Linked DNA regions of Drosophila melanogaster. Changing the gene in region 1 together with any one later gene gives a genetic interaction. Each region holds a gene or a part of one and is shown on either strand. Other genes may lie near its edges.

Region 1 (5,101 bases):
TAATTACAAGCTAATGAGTGGAGGAATTTTGTTGATTGTTGGAACTACTTCTCGCTGCTCTTCCAGATTTTAATGGCATATGAATTTTGTAGGGCGCCGCTAGCAATCACATTTGCCGTGGGATGGCAATGTGTGCTCAAAATCTGGTCGCCCTCCGTGCTTATCTTTTGCACCAGCTCCCTCGTCTGCAGATTCCAGATGCAAAGCGTATTATCCTCGCTGCCGGAGACAATCCAAATGCCGCCGGTGGTGGAAAAATTGGAGTTGGAGCAATAGAACTCATTCAAATGCCCGCGATAGGTCCTCATGCACTTGGGCTTCTTGTAGTTCCATAGCCTAAGGGTGTTGTTCAATGTGGACGACAGGATGTAGCGTCCGTTCGGTGAGAACTTCACATATCCGACCGGGATGTTGTCAACGTCAACGAGAGTCTTCAGCACATGCCCGGTGCTAGAGTCCCACAAGCGGACCAGCCCATCATAGCTGCTGGTGACAAAAATATTGCCATCGCGGTGGAAGTCCACCGATGTTATGGGATCCTGGTGGGCGTGGACGATTTTGAGCGTTTTGCCAGTGCGGACATCCCAAAGGCGCACTGTTTCGTCAAAGCTAGTGGAGGCCAGCAGATTGGCCTGCGGATTAAAGCAGCAGGAGAAACTGTACCTGGAATGCCCCTCCAAAACTTTGACGCAGAGCTTGCTGCGGGCATCCCAGAGACGCACGGTCATGTCATCGCTACAACTGGCAATTAATCCAGCCGCCGACCAGGCGACATCGTTGACTCCGTCTCCGTGCCCGGCCAGCGATTGAATGCATCGGGTTGCGCTCAAGTCCCAGAGCTTAAGCAGCCTATCGCCGGAGCTGCTGACCAAGTTCTCGCCATTCGAACTAAACTTTAGACCAGTAACGCAACCACTGTGACCGAGGAGCGAGTGCTTAATGGCGTAGCCCGGAGACATGGAGTTCTCCAAATGGAACTGACTTGGTAGCATAGGCATCTTAAAGGAATCGAAAGCGGCCTCCGGGATGGCGATTTCAGTTTCGGAATCTCCAGGAGTCGAAGCTGTTTCAATCAATTCCATAATTTTATTTTTTTCGCCCAATTTTAATTTCTTACGAATCCTGCGAAAAGTTCGAAAACTTGGCGATGATGGTGACAGTTCCTGAGTTGACAAAAGCTTGCTGATATTTTGTAAAAAGGGTTTTCATTTCATCATTTACCCGATTATTTTTGGCGCCCAGTTTTAAGTTTTTATTATTTTTTTAAATTAATTACCTACAAATGTTGAGTCTGTTTTTAATTATCGCGAGAAAAAGTACACACGTACTGATAATTCATTAAACACTTTTTTACAATATTTGTCTAGTACATACAATTGTTAATTGTTTCTACAACTACTTATAACTCATTTAGTCAATATTTGTTTGAATTCCCAGACAGGGGGCGTAAAAAATCAGACTGGAAAAAGTAAACAAGCCCAATTAATTTGCGTTTTAAGGGAGTACTTATTTGGCGACAGGGTGCTCTATTTGCGCAGCCTGTTATTGTTATGCTGTCCAGACTTGTTAACCAAACATTAAACAAATGGCCGGTGCTGTGCCGTGCCGGCAATTTGTCACCTAATTATTTGTCGACGCTGCTAATCTTACATATGGGCAAAATTGGAGAATGCGCGATAATCAAGTCAGTGAACTTAATATTTGCATGGTAATTTAACAGACTTAAAGTGAATTTTTAACTTAAATTTTAGTAACATTTGGATTTTAACTGCACATATATGCCTTTATTATTTTATAAAGTTTGAATCAATGAATTTTTATACTAAAAATGTGTGCTAGTACTAGAATGAATTGAAATTATTTATAATAACTGGAACGTGTTGCTATCGATTTTTTTTTGTCAAAATTTATCTTTTTTATTAAAAATTGAATTTCTACATTAAATGTTATTGATGGTATTTTGTAACGGCTAATTCAAATGATCAACGGTCACACTAGCCAGTGGAGCTGCCAGCTATCATTTGAAATTCAAGTAAAGTTGGCAGCCCCCTGGCGTCTGAAAAATAGCGCGAAGTGAAGTAAACTAAAAAGTATCCCTTCAACCCACATAAACAGCGCAAAATGGACAGCAAGGAGGTTTCGGAGGTGCCAAGGCGGGAGGTGCGCTCCTTCCTGATGGCCCGGGATCCCTCCATCGACCGCCGCTTTCGACCGCGACCCAACAAAAAGATGCGTCTGTTTGACAACATTCAGGAGTCGGAGGAAGAAAGTTTTTCCGAATACTCGGACACGGAATCGGAGTACAAGTACCAGTCGAGCGAGGCAACCGAAGGGGCCTCATGCGCTACCAGTGCGGCAGACAGCAGCAACGTGGAAACGGGGCCACAGGTCTTCCTGCGCTTGCGTCCCGTTAAGGATGCATCCAAAGCCTACATAGTCTCGGAAGAAGCAAATGTGCTGATCACTAGCTGCAAAGTGGACTCGACCAGCAACAATGTGAACCGCATGGAAAAACACTTTGGATTCACTTCCATCTTTGACAGCACCGTTGGCCAGCGAGACATCTATGATACCTGTGTGGGTCCCAAAATTATGGAGGAGGAATGTGTGACCATTATGACATATGGCACATCGGGGTCTGGAAAAACGTATACCTTACTGGGTAAGCGAAGAGGACTTGCAACAAGTTTGCTGGGCAATTGTTAATTTAAATCCATTTTTAGGCGATGATGTGCGTGCTGGAATCATTCCGCGTGCCCTGGAAAACATATTCACCATTTACCAGGACACCGTCTTCCGATCGCCCAAGCTGAAGCTAATCAATGGCAGCATCGTGTTCTTGCAGGACGACGCCTCGCTGAAAGAGCTGCAGATTCGGAAAAAACTTTTAGACTTATGTCCGGATATCAGTGCCCACCATCAGCGTCTGAAGCAGGTCATTGATGGCGACCACATGTTCGAAACGAAGGCTTCCACCGATGTTTCCGTCTTGGTTTGGGTGTCCTTCGTGGAGATCTACAATGAACTTGTGTACGACCTGCTAGCCATTCCGCCGAAACAGGACAAACTGGGGGAGGTGCCACGAAAAAACCTGAAGATCGTGGGCAACAAAGGCCATGTGTTCATCAAGGGTCTGACCAGTGTTTTCGTGACGAGCAGCGAGGAGGCGCTGCGTCTGCTCCGGCTGGGCCAGCAGCGCTCCACGTACGCCTCCACCTCGGTGAACGCCAACTCTAGTCGGTCGCACTGTGTCTTTACCGTGGACATACTAAAGTACAATCGGTCGGGCATCACCACACAGAGTTCGTACAAATTCTGCGACCTGGCGGGTTCGGAACGCGTCAACAACACGGGTACCTCCGGCCTTCGTCTCAAGGAAGCAAAGAACATAAATACGTCGCTGATGGTGCTGGGTCGATGTTTAGATGCGGCCAGTACAGTTCAGAAAAAGAAAAACGCCGACATCATTCCATATCGCGACTCCAAGCTAACAATGCTGTTGCAGGCTGCTTTGCTGGGCAAGGAGAAATTGGCCATGATCGTGACAGTTACCCCTCTGGATAAATACTACGAGGAGAACCTGAACGTCTTGAACTTTGCTTCCATCGCCAAGAACATCATCTTCAAGGAGCCCGTAATTAAACAGCATCGCGTCAGCTACTGTGGTTTCATGGAATTCTCAAAGATGTCGACGTGCGAGGGCGGCGACTACACCAAGGAACTTGAGGACGAAAACGTGCGCCTGCAGTTAGAGATTGAGCAACTGAAGTACGATCATGTGCTGCAAATGCAGCTGCTTGAGGAGAAACTGCGAAGGGAACTGACTGCCACCTACCAGGAGATTATCCAAAACAACAAGAAGCAATATGAAGACGAATGCGAGAAAAAATTACTAATTGCGCAAAGAGAATCAGAATTTATGGTTAGTAAATATAACAATATAATATAATAGTATATAATATAAACTATATATTTAACAGCTTTCCTCTCAACGCCGAAGGTATGAAGAACAAATAGAAGACCTCAAAGATGAGATAGAGGAACTTAAGAATCCTGCAAGCGACACGGACATTTCTGATGATCCAAACGAATCTAAGTCTCCCATCGAAATCCTCGATGATGATTAGTTTCTTTAATTCACAATTTTTAATTTGTTAAGTGTTAGTGATTTTAAAATTTAAATTTGAAACTTGATATGTTGCAGAGTTGGCCACGTTTTCCAATAAACATGTGAATGATCAATAAACTAGTGACACAAATAATGATGTGATTCTGTGCCAAGAAACTTCGAGCAAGAATACCAGAATCGCAATTACCATAAATGTTCCGTACGCCTGCCACATCCACTGAAAATCCACAATCCTTAGCGAGGTAGGGTGCTCTCTTTCCTTCAACTGCAGGCTGGGATCCTCCAGACCGGACAATCCAGCTGCTGTCATGTCGTAGTAGTGCATTCCCACCCAGAAGTCATAGAGTCCATTGGCATTTACCTCCAAAATAAGTTGGCTGACGGGCTCTGTGAACAAGGAATTCTGCGGCCATTGGAAAGAGAGCAGCGCCAGGGACCACAGGCAGTCATCCGTGGAGTAGATAAACAGCTCTCGGGTGAAGCGCTTCTGCTGCTCACTGAACAAATTCCAATACAGTCGGGAGGCGAAGTAGGCATTGCTTGTGTTCCTTCCATTCCTCAAGTGATTGTACTCACTCACATTGACCACCAGCATGGGCACACGCAGTTTCATCCATGTGGGAAAGTCTTCCTCGGTCGTAACCAATGGTATTTTCGTGCGACGCAGACCAGCGAAACTTCGTGCTTGAAATTGCCGTGGTGGATGAGCCATTAATGTGTCCAGTCCCGCTCCAAAAATGCTGCTCACATTAAGACCCACTATTCCAAGCATCAGAAATATCAACCTGGTGGAGAAGCTTCTCGACAAGGGCAAATTGAAGGATTGGCCCAAGATTCCGCGTAAAGCTTTATCATTTAGCACAAAGTCCACCAGACGCACATCGCGATGGGTCATGTTTCGAAGGAGATTCAAAGCCAATCCATAACTGGAAACAATAACAATAGCCAGGAACATATTGGAAGCACTGCTCA
Region 2 (6,077 bases), on another chromosome or scaffold:
GATGATGGATTTCGTCATATACATAATTCTCATATGTCTTCTTTTCAAAAAAAAGTGAAAGTAATTTCGAAAAAATTCAGAGATGCGAACGTGGTTCCTTTGGAAATGAAAACATTTGACCCAATTTTTGTGCATTATTAGTTTTGCTTAAAACGCAGTTGCCTCTTTCATGTTTCTAACCCAACTCTAGAAAATTATCGCGAGTACATCAGTTTCTTTGAAATGAAAAAACTAAACTAAGTACTACGTTTCATAGCTTCATCTACATACAGTTCTTTGTTTTGGTTTTTTTTTTGGTTGTGTGTAGTGGGAGGGGGGTTGGGTGGTGTTCTACGGGCGAACACCTTCACCCTGGGGAATCGGGAATTCTCGTGGCGTAGAGAACAAAGGACAAAGACTTGCAGTCTTCTGGCATTAAACCCACCGCATCCGCCTGCTCATCGAAGACCTCCGAGACCAACTGCGTAAGTGAGAGAACAGAGACAAAGGAAACAAATTAACTGGTGTTCGCCAAGGAGCCATGGTGCACTTACCGCGTGAACCTTGAGGAAATCGCGCAGCGATCGCTGGCAGTAGATGATGTCGTTCTTCAGCTCCAGCGGCAGCACGTAGTACTTCTCCATGTAGTACCTGAACTTGGCGTACTTGCGCTCCTTATGGTACTTGCTCATCTTGTTCCGATTATATTGACGCTATATATATAACGACGGTTATCGTACGAATCACGCACGCGACTGATTTCGGATGCGTTGCAATTGATGCACTTGTGGGAATTTTGGGCAAATTTTCGAAAGGGAGTGGGGTGGGAATTGAAACCGAATGTGGTTAGAAAATGTGATAGATTGATCACTACATTCGTAACTGATATCTGGCCGAGGAACTTCGCAATTTAAGATAAAAATGTGTTGCATCAACTGGTGGCGTTGCCAGATAGATGAATACATGTGCTCGTTCTCGTAGCGAATTTTTAATCTTAATATGCGTTTAATTATGAATTTGGAGAAATAAGGACGATGTGCGTCAATAACTTCGATGACGGAACGGTGGAATTTTTGAACATGGGGAAGTTTTTTAAAAATTAATTTTTCGTTATTTAGTGTTCCAAAATGCACGCAAGACCATCAAATTAGCGTCGATGAGTTAGAGTCGATGGCGGAACGGTGAAATTTTTGAACATTGGAAAGTTTTTTATTATTTTTTTTTTTTTTATGGGTCAAAATATGAACAAGCCTATACAAAAAAGTACCCATGAAAGTCATTTATGTTTGGTGTTGTTGACAGAGCGTGTTCCGGAATGCCGTGCTTATAGGCTTATGTAGGCCTAATTAAGTAATGATCCTTAAAAAATTCATCAAAAATTTATCTACAGTTTTGCAGAAAATCGTCTACAAGTGGAAGGAGTTTAAATGCCACCTTCTCCAGTACTACAGCCAATAAATATCATGAACCGCCCTATTAACGATAAGAGTTCTCCGCTGACTTTATTTTATTATTATTTATTTTATTACATTGCACTATTATTTATATTTATTATTTAACTCAGCTCACAGAGCGTATTCCGTCGTACGGCATCTCAAAAGTTTCGTAATTTTATTTATTATTTATTCAAAAAGTTTCATTACAATTTGATAGACAGTTTTTTTTTTTGTTACTACACGTGTTCTGTATATCTACTAAGCCATATATTTAATATATTATATTAAATAATTGCAAATGGTGTGGATGGTATATAAGTAAGCGCCAGAATTTGGAACCTCTCTATGCTCGCACGGTCACACTGGCCGATAACGAAAACATCGAGGCAACAGCTATACTTCATTTATCACTCAAATCTGGCAGCACTGCATTGTGTTTCGGCAAAAAAGAAAGTTGTGGTTTTCTAGGAATTTCGAGCAAAATGTAAGTAGAACTACAAAATGGGCTTTAAATTGTGTGCAAATTCGCTGCCAGCCTGGCTAATTCGCCACCGTGATGTGAATAAGTGCTGTGCGGCATGACGCCAGTGACGCCCCAAATTCGCATGCAATATGGACGACGGCGTCGCTTCGCCTGGAATTGTGTGCTTTATTCCCGACCCAGCGGCTTTTGCTGTCTGTCCACCCGGCCACCGCCCACCCGGCTTCCGGCCACCAAGTCCAGCCGGTTAACAAGCCCGATTGCCGGCTAGAGTTGTACAAAACAAGTGGCGTATAGAGCTTCCAGAGATTTCGCTGACAAAAAAAAAAGAAAAACGACGTGGTGCCGCCTCGTGCTGTTATCCCTCCTTTTCCGGCTCATGGCAAGCTCTGCAGTGGAAAAGCGCCGTCCAATTGGGACTGTCAGCTCCTCCGTACGCCACACCGAAGCAGGACAAATGTCCTTGTCCTTTGGCCATCGGAACATTCTCGCCGACTGCCATGCCATTCGCATTTTGTGAGGTTAAACATGAATCGCAAAAAAAAAAAAACGGCAATGAATTTGCTTCATGTTTCTTCTGCCGGCGGCGACGTCGGCGTCGTCGTCTGTCTGCGTCTGTTCGTCGTCCGTGTGCGTGTGCATGTGTGGGTGCGTATGTGTGTTAGAATTCGATTTGTTATTTAGAATATATAAATGCGATTGGCGATTTTCACGTGAATCGCGACTGCTGCGCTGTTCGCCAGCCAGCAAATGAGCTAAGAAAACGCTGCACTATTTGTATGTCGGCATTTTTATTTTTTGGCGCGCTTCGCAGCGTCCACAGGTTCTCACCAATACGAGTGCATGCGTGCGTGTGTGTGCTTGTAATTTGCCGGCGTTACAGGCGGCACTCAAAATAAGGAATTTTCCTGCTTTTATGGGCAGCACCAGTGGTGTGATGCGCAGGAATTTCACAATCTTGCCATCCTTAAAAAGTTACTCATTTCAGTCTCCAAAAGGAATGAGTCATCAAATGCCTTTTTCAGCGTTTTACGAAATATATCCATTCAAATTATTCACCTCATTTCAAATTGATGAAACTGATCTTGATTCATGCTGAAAATATGGTCATCTTTATTGATGAACTTGGTAGTTTGCTTTAATTCTTTTAAAAAGTACTTCTATTTGCTATATGGCCATTTCATTCAAAACCTATATTTACCAATATTTCTTCTCTATAACTTCTTAAATTTGTATATATCTTTGATTACAGTTCGCAGTAAATCATAAACAAATGTTATGCTATATACAGTACAAACACAATAACGCGATCAAGTTTCTTTAGTATGAAAATTTTGTTTACACTGCGCTTTTCTTCGAATGTTTTGAATGTCTCCAATTCTACGCTTAATATTCCGAAACTTATGCCAAGCGTTTATGCGCGCTAATTATTTGCGAACAGAAATGTCAGCATTTATTATTCACTTTGGTTTCCTATGCTCGGGTTTAAATTAGTATTACCCAGGTCAATTGTGGGTCAGAGCCGCCGTGGGTTTTCCGGGTCTCCTTTTGTGTGGCAAACTGTTTTGGGCTGCGCATAAACGTGGTGGGAATGTATGTGTGCGAGTATGCAGAGTATATCCTTCCGCCTCCCTGCCGCCTTCTTGTTGTTGTTGTTGTTTGGTGCGCCTGGCATTTCTGCTTACCTGCACACACAGCCAGCCATACCCTGTGGCCATCTCGCTCTGGCTCGGCATCTCGGCCTTCTTATCCTTGCGGGCTCAGCGGGAGCGGCAGCTGCAGTGTCCTTTGTCGTTATCCTGCTCGCTCCTCGCCGAACAGCTGGTCGCCGTCCTTGGCGGGCTTTGACGCATCCATTGTGCACGTCACATTTTGGACGGCTCGCAGGACGGGCAGTCAGTCGCCTGGCGCTCGCCGAACCAACAACATCCTAGCCAACACATTCCGCTCCTGTTCCTGTTCCTGCTCAAGCTCCGCTATATATATATATATTTAAATATATAAAGTAGCATAGTAGTTGCAAGTTGCTAACCAGCCAAACGCAATTGTTCCATCTGCAGCTCACCGTTCCAGAAATTTTGCATTAACGAAGATACCGAGTGCTTAGAAGGATGGCTCAGGAAGGTCAGGATATACCCACATTCAAGTGCGTGCTAGTCGGCGATGGCGGCACCGGCAAGACCACCTTTGTCAAGCGGCACATGACCGGTGAGTTCGAGAAGAAGTACGTGGCCACACTGGGCGTGGAGGTGCATCCATTGATCTTCCATACCAATCGTGGCGCCATCCGTTTCAATGTGTGGGATACCGCTGGCCAGGAGAAGTTCGGCGGGCTGCGCGATGGCTACTACATTCAGGGCCAGTGTGCCGTCATCATGTTCGATGTTACCTCGCGTGTCACGTACAAGAACGTGCCCAACTGGCATCGCGATCTAGTCCGCGTCTGCGAGAACATACCAATCGTCCTCTGTGGCAACAAAGTCGATATCAAGGATCGCAAGGTGAAAGCGAAGAGCATCGTCTTCCACCGAAAGAAGAACTTGCAGGTAAATAAAGAAAAGCTGAACTTTTATTTGAAATTTTGTTAACGTTATTGTGCTTGTGCCTTCTTTTTTGTCAAACAGTATTACGATATTTCTGCCAAATCGAACTACAACTTCGAGAAACCATTCCTTTGGCTGGCGCGCAAGCTGGTTGGTGATCCCAACCTGGAGTTTGTCGCCATGCCAGCCCTGCTGCCGCCCGAGGTTAAGATGGATAAGGATTGGCAGGCGCAGATCGAGCGTGACTTGCAGGAGGCCCAGGCGACCGCACTGCCCGACGAGGACGAGGAGCTATAAGCCTATTTGTAGTTAACTTAGAGCGAAATCCGACTTGCGCGAAAACACAAACACACACACACTCAAACACAAAACCACAACACACAACACCACACCGAACATAGAACACTGAATCACAGGCACCGTATGAAAAGGCGTGGCAAGAGGGAATGAAGGATTACGGATTAGAGGAAGTAGCATTAGCAGTAGTGTACTATCCGTACACTATTGGATTTGCCAGCCTATGTTCTTCGATCGATCGTTGGGAAAATCTACAAACAAGCCCTTCTTAATACGTCGATTGTATTTAAATTTTAGATCCCCAATTCATTAATAAGTCGGTTATAATTGATTTTTTTTTTGTTTGTTTCCTTATACGTTGGCTCTTGGAAAAAAAGGAGTAAGTAAGTAGTATTGTCATTAAAGTGCTAAAGCAGCAGGCAACAGCAACTTAATCGAAAACCAAGAGAAATAAATAGTCGCAGAACGTATTTTTTTAAAACTTGCAACACCAATGTTCTTTTCCACCCAAAAAAAAAAAGGAAGAAAAAACCAAGTTACTTCAACAAAAGTGTGAATGTTAGAAACGAGCGAGACGGCATGCTCGGAGCGAGCGAGAGCGCAATAGCTGGCCAATGAACTGAGTCCCCCCAAAGGAAAATTAATACTATTGAAAAAAGAAAAGAAAGGAAAACACTGGAAACTATGAGAAAATAACCTATAGACAGGCCGCCGAATTCGCATCCACATGTTATTAATCTAAGAACTAAAGAAATAAAAAATAAACGTCGAAGAAAAAAAAACTAAACGAACGGAGCTGGATTTGCATTTGAAAGATGATAAGGAAATGATGCTAGATTATAGTTATCGCATACCCTGTAATTGAATGGGTAGCACATATATTCCGTTAGCTAATCGTCTACTGTTTACATTTCTACATTTGAATACACTGTTCTTAATGAAACTCCTCGGATTTAGGGACACTTGAGGCAGCAGGCAGGGAAAACTCCGGTGAAGCGATCCTTGTTGCCGCAGGTGACCTTCTGCTGTCCACAGCTGAAAAAAAGATATTGTAGATGGCTTGGTTAGAATCATGTGGAGATCGGGGCAAAGTTCAGCTAGGAAATATTTTGTTTTCTTCATGCAACCTAAGTTGCTAATTAAGATCGCTGTCATGATGCACTTACTCCTCCACGATGGTCTTGAAGGTGTCCGTGCAGATGGCCCGCTTGAGGCACTTGCCATCCTTGCCGAAGTCCACGTAGTCCTGTCCGCGTCTCAGCAGCGGCAGATACTTGAGAAAGATGGTCTCATCCTCCGAGTTGCGGTAGGAGCACACGGGTTCGCTGGCTACGTACAAGA
Region 3 (5,308 bases), about 10 Mb from region 1:
GCGTCGTCGTCCACCTCGACGCCTGTGGGTGTGCCGTTGGCCGCCGCCTGGAAGTGCGACTCCTTCTCCAGCCGGTCCATCAGCAGCTCCATCGTGTCGATGCCCACGGCGTTCAGGCCGAGTCGCTGGCGCTCCTCGTTCATGTGCTCCAGCCAGGCGGAGTCCTCCTCGTCAACGTCGTACTCCACCTCCCCGTCCAGCTCCTCCAGGGACTTTTCGATGAAGCGATAGTAGGCCAGCGGCCGTGGCGGGGCGTCGGACACTCGGTAGTCCGGAATCTCGGCCACCCTGGCCACGGGCACCTGGACCCTTGCCCAGGGCGCGTTCTCCTCCAGCGGTGGTGCGTCGGCATTCAGAATACAGCCCCTGGCCACTAGGGCGGCGAACTCTTCGTCCTCTACGAGCGGCAAGGCGTCGTCGATGCCCAGGCGCACGCTCTTCCCGTCCAAGTTAAACGTCACCGTGGCCTCCTCCTCGTTGTAGGACACCAGTGACTCTGGATTGGCGTACTGCCGGGCGCTGACTCCGCTCGCCGATCCACCTCCTGCGCTGGCCGAGGAGCAGCCGTTTCTGGCCTCAGCTCCACCGCCACCCGGCGTGGGGTGATCCTTGTGCGGACGAGGCGTGGAGTGGTGGCCGCCGGAGCGTGAGCGCGCCTTCTTGCGGCTCGGAGTCAGCACGGGCGTGAGCGGCTGTGGGTTGTCGTGGTCGTACTTCATAAGATGGTATTGCAGACCCATGATGGTCTTGTAGCTGCGGTCGCAGCCGCGGACGGGACAGGCGAAAGGCGGCTGGGACTGCTGGGTCTTCACCCCTTTGCAGTATTCCACTGCGTCGAAGTCGAGGCCCATGATCTGGATCTGCGGCGCGATCTGTGGATCTGCTGCAGCTGGCTTCTCGGGGTTTGGCGGTTCGCTGGTCGCGGATCGCGGGCACTGTGTCTACTCCGCGGCACGGCTGCGCATACGTATGTGCATCCCACGGTGGTCGTCGCAGAGCGCGCGGTTTTGGCTGTCCACCGTTCCTGGTCGATTTTCGTTGGCTTGTTGCAAATTTTTTAACAAATGTGCTAGAGATGGGCTTGCTGGTCAGCTCGCCATGGCGATACTATCGTCGGAAGTGCTTGTGCAGCACTGGACGTTTGCTGAAACTTGTTTGAAATATTTCCGGTCCTTTACGCAAATTAATTCTCTTCCGTAATCTATATTTATAATTTAAATGTTCCTTTTTGTTCTTTCCCTTACCATTTTCCCTCAAATTTGTTTACAATATGTTTTTTGGGGAGCCGTGCAGCACTGCTTTCTAGAGATGGTAGTGGCGGGAACGTATTGGAACTGGTTCACCTAATGTTATACTTTCAAAATTTACAGGGCTAGAAATCCAGTACGTAACTATTTAAATAACCCAATAATATTATTTTAAAGAATTCAAATAAATATCTCCCAATATTCACTCAAAAAACAAGTTTTGGTTGTGTTTTTCATTTTGCGCGGGAACTTTATCGCCCGTGCAGTGTTGGAAAGCAGAGGCATAAATGCGCCTTACAGCACCCGACGAGCTGTTAACTGTCAACAGTGCACAATTAAAGGCATGTTATCAAATGCTGACGCGCGTCGCAATTGCCGCCATTTGAAAAAAACGATAAAATCGAAGGAACCGAATCCGGATTTGCAGTTTGTCAGATACAGTCGCTAGATATGGAGGACATCTTGGGCGTGCTGGGCTCGCTTTCGGACCTGCGCAGGGAGCTCGAGGTCCTGCGCAAGGTAAGCCAGGATCAGGAGACGAAATTCCGACACTGTCAACATGGCGTCATATGTGTTTTTTAGGCCCACTTTGAGGAGCTGGACCACCTCTTCTACGGCACAGGCCAGCCGGAGGCGGAGGCCAAACCGAGGGACAGTGCTCCGGCAGCGAAGAGTCAGGAGAACTCTTCGGTGACGCCGCAGCAAACGAAAAAGCGCCCCAAGCGACTCACCTCACTGGCCGAGGATCAGAATGAGCCCGAGGGTGAGTATCCTGGCCATTTTAAAGCATTAACGACCAACAACCCCTGTGATATTCCATTTGAGCAGCTCCAGACGCCACGGCCAACAACACGTCGGCCCGTCAAAGCACTCGGGTCAGCAACTCCCAGTTGCTGGCTATCGCCGAGGACGAGCACAACTCCACGGCCTCGCTGATGCCGCCTCCGCCTGTGCCCGTCTCGGCGGACACCACCCTCGGCTCCGGAAGGCCACAGCGAGCCGCTAAGCTGAAGACCGAGAAATTACTCAAGGAGCCCTCACTCAACCGTAAGATGCGGCGGCCCAGCAGCGAGGAGCTCGTAAAGGTCAAGGTTGAGAGCGAGCAGCGAGTCTCCCAGTTTAACAGCTTCACCAGTGCACAGGCGTTAGAGGAAAATAAACTAGCGGAGCCGGAACTAGAAGAGCCAGCAGCAGAAACAGCTGAGCAGCAAAAGCCTCCGGAGGAGGCCTCAGTCACAGAGGACGTGAACACCACGAAGACACTCCGCGTGAAGGTAAAGCGCGAGAAACTCAGTACCGAAGCAGTGCCCCCGTTAACCAATGCGGTCTCCACGGCAAATGTGACCACCGTCTCCTCTGTAACAACGGAGGCAGCGCGACCGGACGATACGGTGGCCAGCAACACGACGACATCCACGGAGGTCTCCAAGAAGGTCCGCAAGAAGAAGAAGGACGTGGAAAGCCACCGACCCATAAAGGTGGAACGATTCAGCGACCTGGACAAGAGCTCGCCAGTCTCGTCGCGCACGCGCAAGTGTAGCAGCGATTCGCGAACGGTTCAGGAGCGATCCATATACAAGGATGCACTCGAAGATCCGCCCGTTGCAGAGCAATCAGTGGCTGCAGTTGCTCCGGCTGCTGTCAATGAGACCGTGGCGATTTCCAACGCCACCCTCGTACTGGGTCCTGCGCCGACGAGCGATAGTCCAATAGGACCAGCTGGAGATGCCACTTTTGAGGTGCACTCCAACGACAAGAAACAACCTCTGAGTAAGCAGGACAGCCTCTTAACGGAGGACGAGTCGGTGGAGGAGAAGCTGCCGACGACCAAGCTGCTCTCGAGCATAAAGGCTATAAAACTGCCTACCCGTACACATGAGCTTTTCAAGTGAGTAGATACCCTGCCTCTTCATGCATGTTATCCTTCTAAACAATCTTTGCACTTCTACAGCCCACTGCTTCAGAGTCCAGTGAAAATGCGCGTGGAGGCGTTCGAGAATGCGGCAAACGCACAGAACAGCATGCGCCCTAAGCGGGGAAAAGATCTGGTAGGTACAGTATAGTTGCACATATATAGCAGGCAGATAGCAGGCAGAATTAGGCTAGACTATTCACCAGTTCTGTATCAATTGGCGCTTTCTAGAACTGTTTGATAGGTGATTCATTTATTGTTATTTTTTTTTACTCTTCAGCAGGGCACGCCAGGATCAAACAACACTCCCAAAATTGGCAAGCTGCCTGCTCCGACTGTTGGTCGCTTTTTCACACCGACTCAAACGACAAGCACACTACCATTAAGCTCGGCGCAGCCCAAGAAGGGACCTGCCAGCGCGTCTAAGGCCACTAGTCTGCTGAAGACGGCCACCGGTACGAACCTAAGGTCGGTCAATTCCACGTCCACAAAAACGCTGTCGCGCGAGAACAGCGGAGACGACTTCCGCAAGGGCCTGCACAATCTGGCGGAGGAGCGCAAGAAGCTGCGTGAGCAAAAGCACCAGCAGGCTGCCCAGCAGCGCGAAGCCAAGGAGCGGGAGCGGGCAGAGCGTATGGCCAAGCTGGCCGCCGAGCGCGCCAAGAAGCAGGAGGAGCGAAAGCGAATTGAAGAGCGCAAACGACAAGAGCTGGAGGAGCTGCAGCGGAAGATGCGCCAGCAAGAGGAAGCCGAGGCGCTCAAGAAGGCCAAGTTCAAGGAGCTGGAGCAGCAGAAACTGCAGCAGCTAACCGGCGCCAAGCCCAAGAAGATGCTTCCGCCGCCGCCGAAAACCAAGTACACCTGGGAGATGCTGCACGAAGACGACTCGACAGACGACGAGGGAAAGGTCACCCACAAGCGTCCCCCAGCGCCCACCTGGAGTCGAAGTAAGTTTGTGGATCATTTCGAAGAGTTATTTTCGAGATACCTTATTCATCGTAAATATATACAAGTAAATACACCAGATTACAGTCTGATTTCCATTGGGACTACTAAAGGAAATGTTCTTAAATATAGATTCTGACTTATGTGTTTATTTTCAGGCCACGTAAGGGGAGAGGCAATTGCTATGCAGAGCCACTGCCCAACCGACATCATCGACAGCTTTTTCTCGGTGGCGCCCACCACACCGGACCTAAAGCAGATATTCCCGAACATCGATCCCAGCCAGCTGAAGCGAAACTCCAGCGTGCTGTGGTCCACGCCGCCGCGCTATTCCGAGCTGCCGAAATACTAGCCAAGTAGTCCTGCTCTCTTCTCCCGTAAATGCACATGTTTATGATCGAATAAATAAAGTTAATTGTGAAAATTAAAGCGGAGTACCGCTGCGCGATTCACTGCGACTCTGACACTAATATCCAGCTGCTTTAGAACTATTAAAGCCGCCAGCGTGCTCAATTAATGGTTCGCTGGTGGCTGCTTGCCGATTCCATTAGCCAAGTTGCCCAACAATGGATACGTCGATTCGTGAAAAGTGTGAAAACGCAGAGGAGGCAAGTAAACGAAATAAAAGAAAACAAGCCCGGCAAACACAATTTCACTGGTCATGGGGCATGGTTTTGTGGCATGATGCGCAGACGATCGAAAAGACTGCCTCGATTCGATTCTCCTCCATCATGTTTCCATTGCTGCTAATCCCACTTTTCCAACGAGCCATTCTCATTTTCAATCGAAAGCCGAAATCAGCGGAATCGGCATGGGCAATTGGCACAGTAATTGCTGCTGATTAGAGTCGACTCCATGTGGAAGTCGCCGCGGATCCACCCATGAATATGATTCGATGGGACCATCTTAATCCGCAATCTAATTAAGGCGCGTACGCTCCCCAAATTGCCACTTTCAATTGTTACTGTTTCCGTTTAAGTGCACTCTGTTAGTAGCTCCACTTCCCCACGGACCCAAGTCGATTGGGGCTGAATCTATGTGAATTCCATGTGGCACATTGGATACTCTATCAAAAACTGTAAGGAAAGATAGTAACACATCTAAATGAATAAGCTCTAAAATTCCATCAAATGCCACTTTTGTGATCCATCAGTTTGCAATTCTTTAGAACTTTTGAAAGACCAACTTTTAGATTTTCCCATGT

Evidence for each region.
Region 2: of sub (region 1) and Ran, changing one suppresses a phenotype caused by changing the other (phenotypic suppression), as found in Drosophila melanogaster (one study listed by BioGRID).
Region 3: of sub (region 1) and Incenp, changing one enhances a phenotype caused by changing the other (phenotypic enhancement), as found in Drosophila melanogaster (one study listed by BioGRID).

What each region holds. Positions count from the first base shown.
Region 1 is NT_033778.4:17,744,999-17,750,099, reverse strand, and holds sub (subito), read left to right. Parts: upstream 1-2,021; 5' UTR 2,022-2,121; coding exon 2,122-2,662; intron 2,663-2,723; coding exon 2,724-3,922; intron 3,923-3,980; coding exon 3,981-4,127; 3' UTR 4,128-4,238; downstream 4,239-5,101. Other genes in the region: CG10931 (uncharacterized protein), read right to left, coding at 45-1,082; Ir54a (ionotropic receptor 54a), read right to left, coding at 4,239-5,101. UniProt on the Drosophila melanogaster protein: Required during female meiosis for bipolar spindle formation in the absence of the centrosomes and chromosome homolog segregation. Also has roles in male meiosis and mitotic divisions of the early embryo.
Region 2 is NC_004354.4:11,144,308-11,150,384, reverse strand, and holds Ran (Ran), read left to right. Parts: upstream 1-1,804; 5' UTR 1,805-1,899; intron 1,900-3,788; exon of another isoform or gene 3,789-3,969; 5' UTR 3,970-4,007; coding exon 4,008-4,442; intron 4,443-4,520; coding exon 4,521-4,736; 3' UTR 4,737-5,533; downstream 5,534-6,077. Other genes in the region: Lint-1 (l(3)mbt interacting protein 1), read right to left, coding at 425-460, 534-671; CG15201 (uncharacterized protein), read right to left, coding at 5,690-5,771, 5,903-6,065.
Region 3 is NT_033778.4:7,277,032-7,282,339, forward strand, and holds Incenp (inner centromere protein), read left to right. Parts: upstream 1-1,574; 5' UTR 1,575-1,697; coding exon 1,698-1,766; intron 1,767-1,829; coding exon 1,830-2,010; intron 2,011-2,075; coding exon 2,076-3,135; intron 3,136-3,198; coding exon 3,199-3,295; intron 3,296-3,439; coding exon 3,440-4,106; intron 4,107-4,262; coding exon 4,263-4,456; 3' UTR 4,457-4,764; downstream 4,765-5,308. Other genes in the region: Br140 (Bromodomain-containing protein, 140kD), read right to left, coding at 1-851.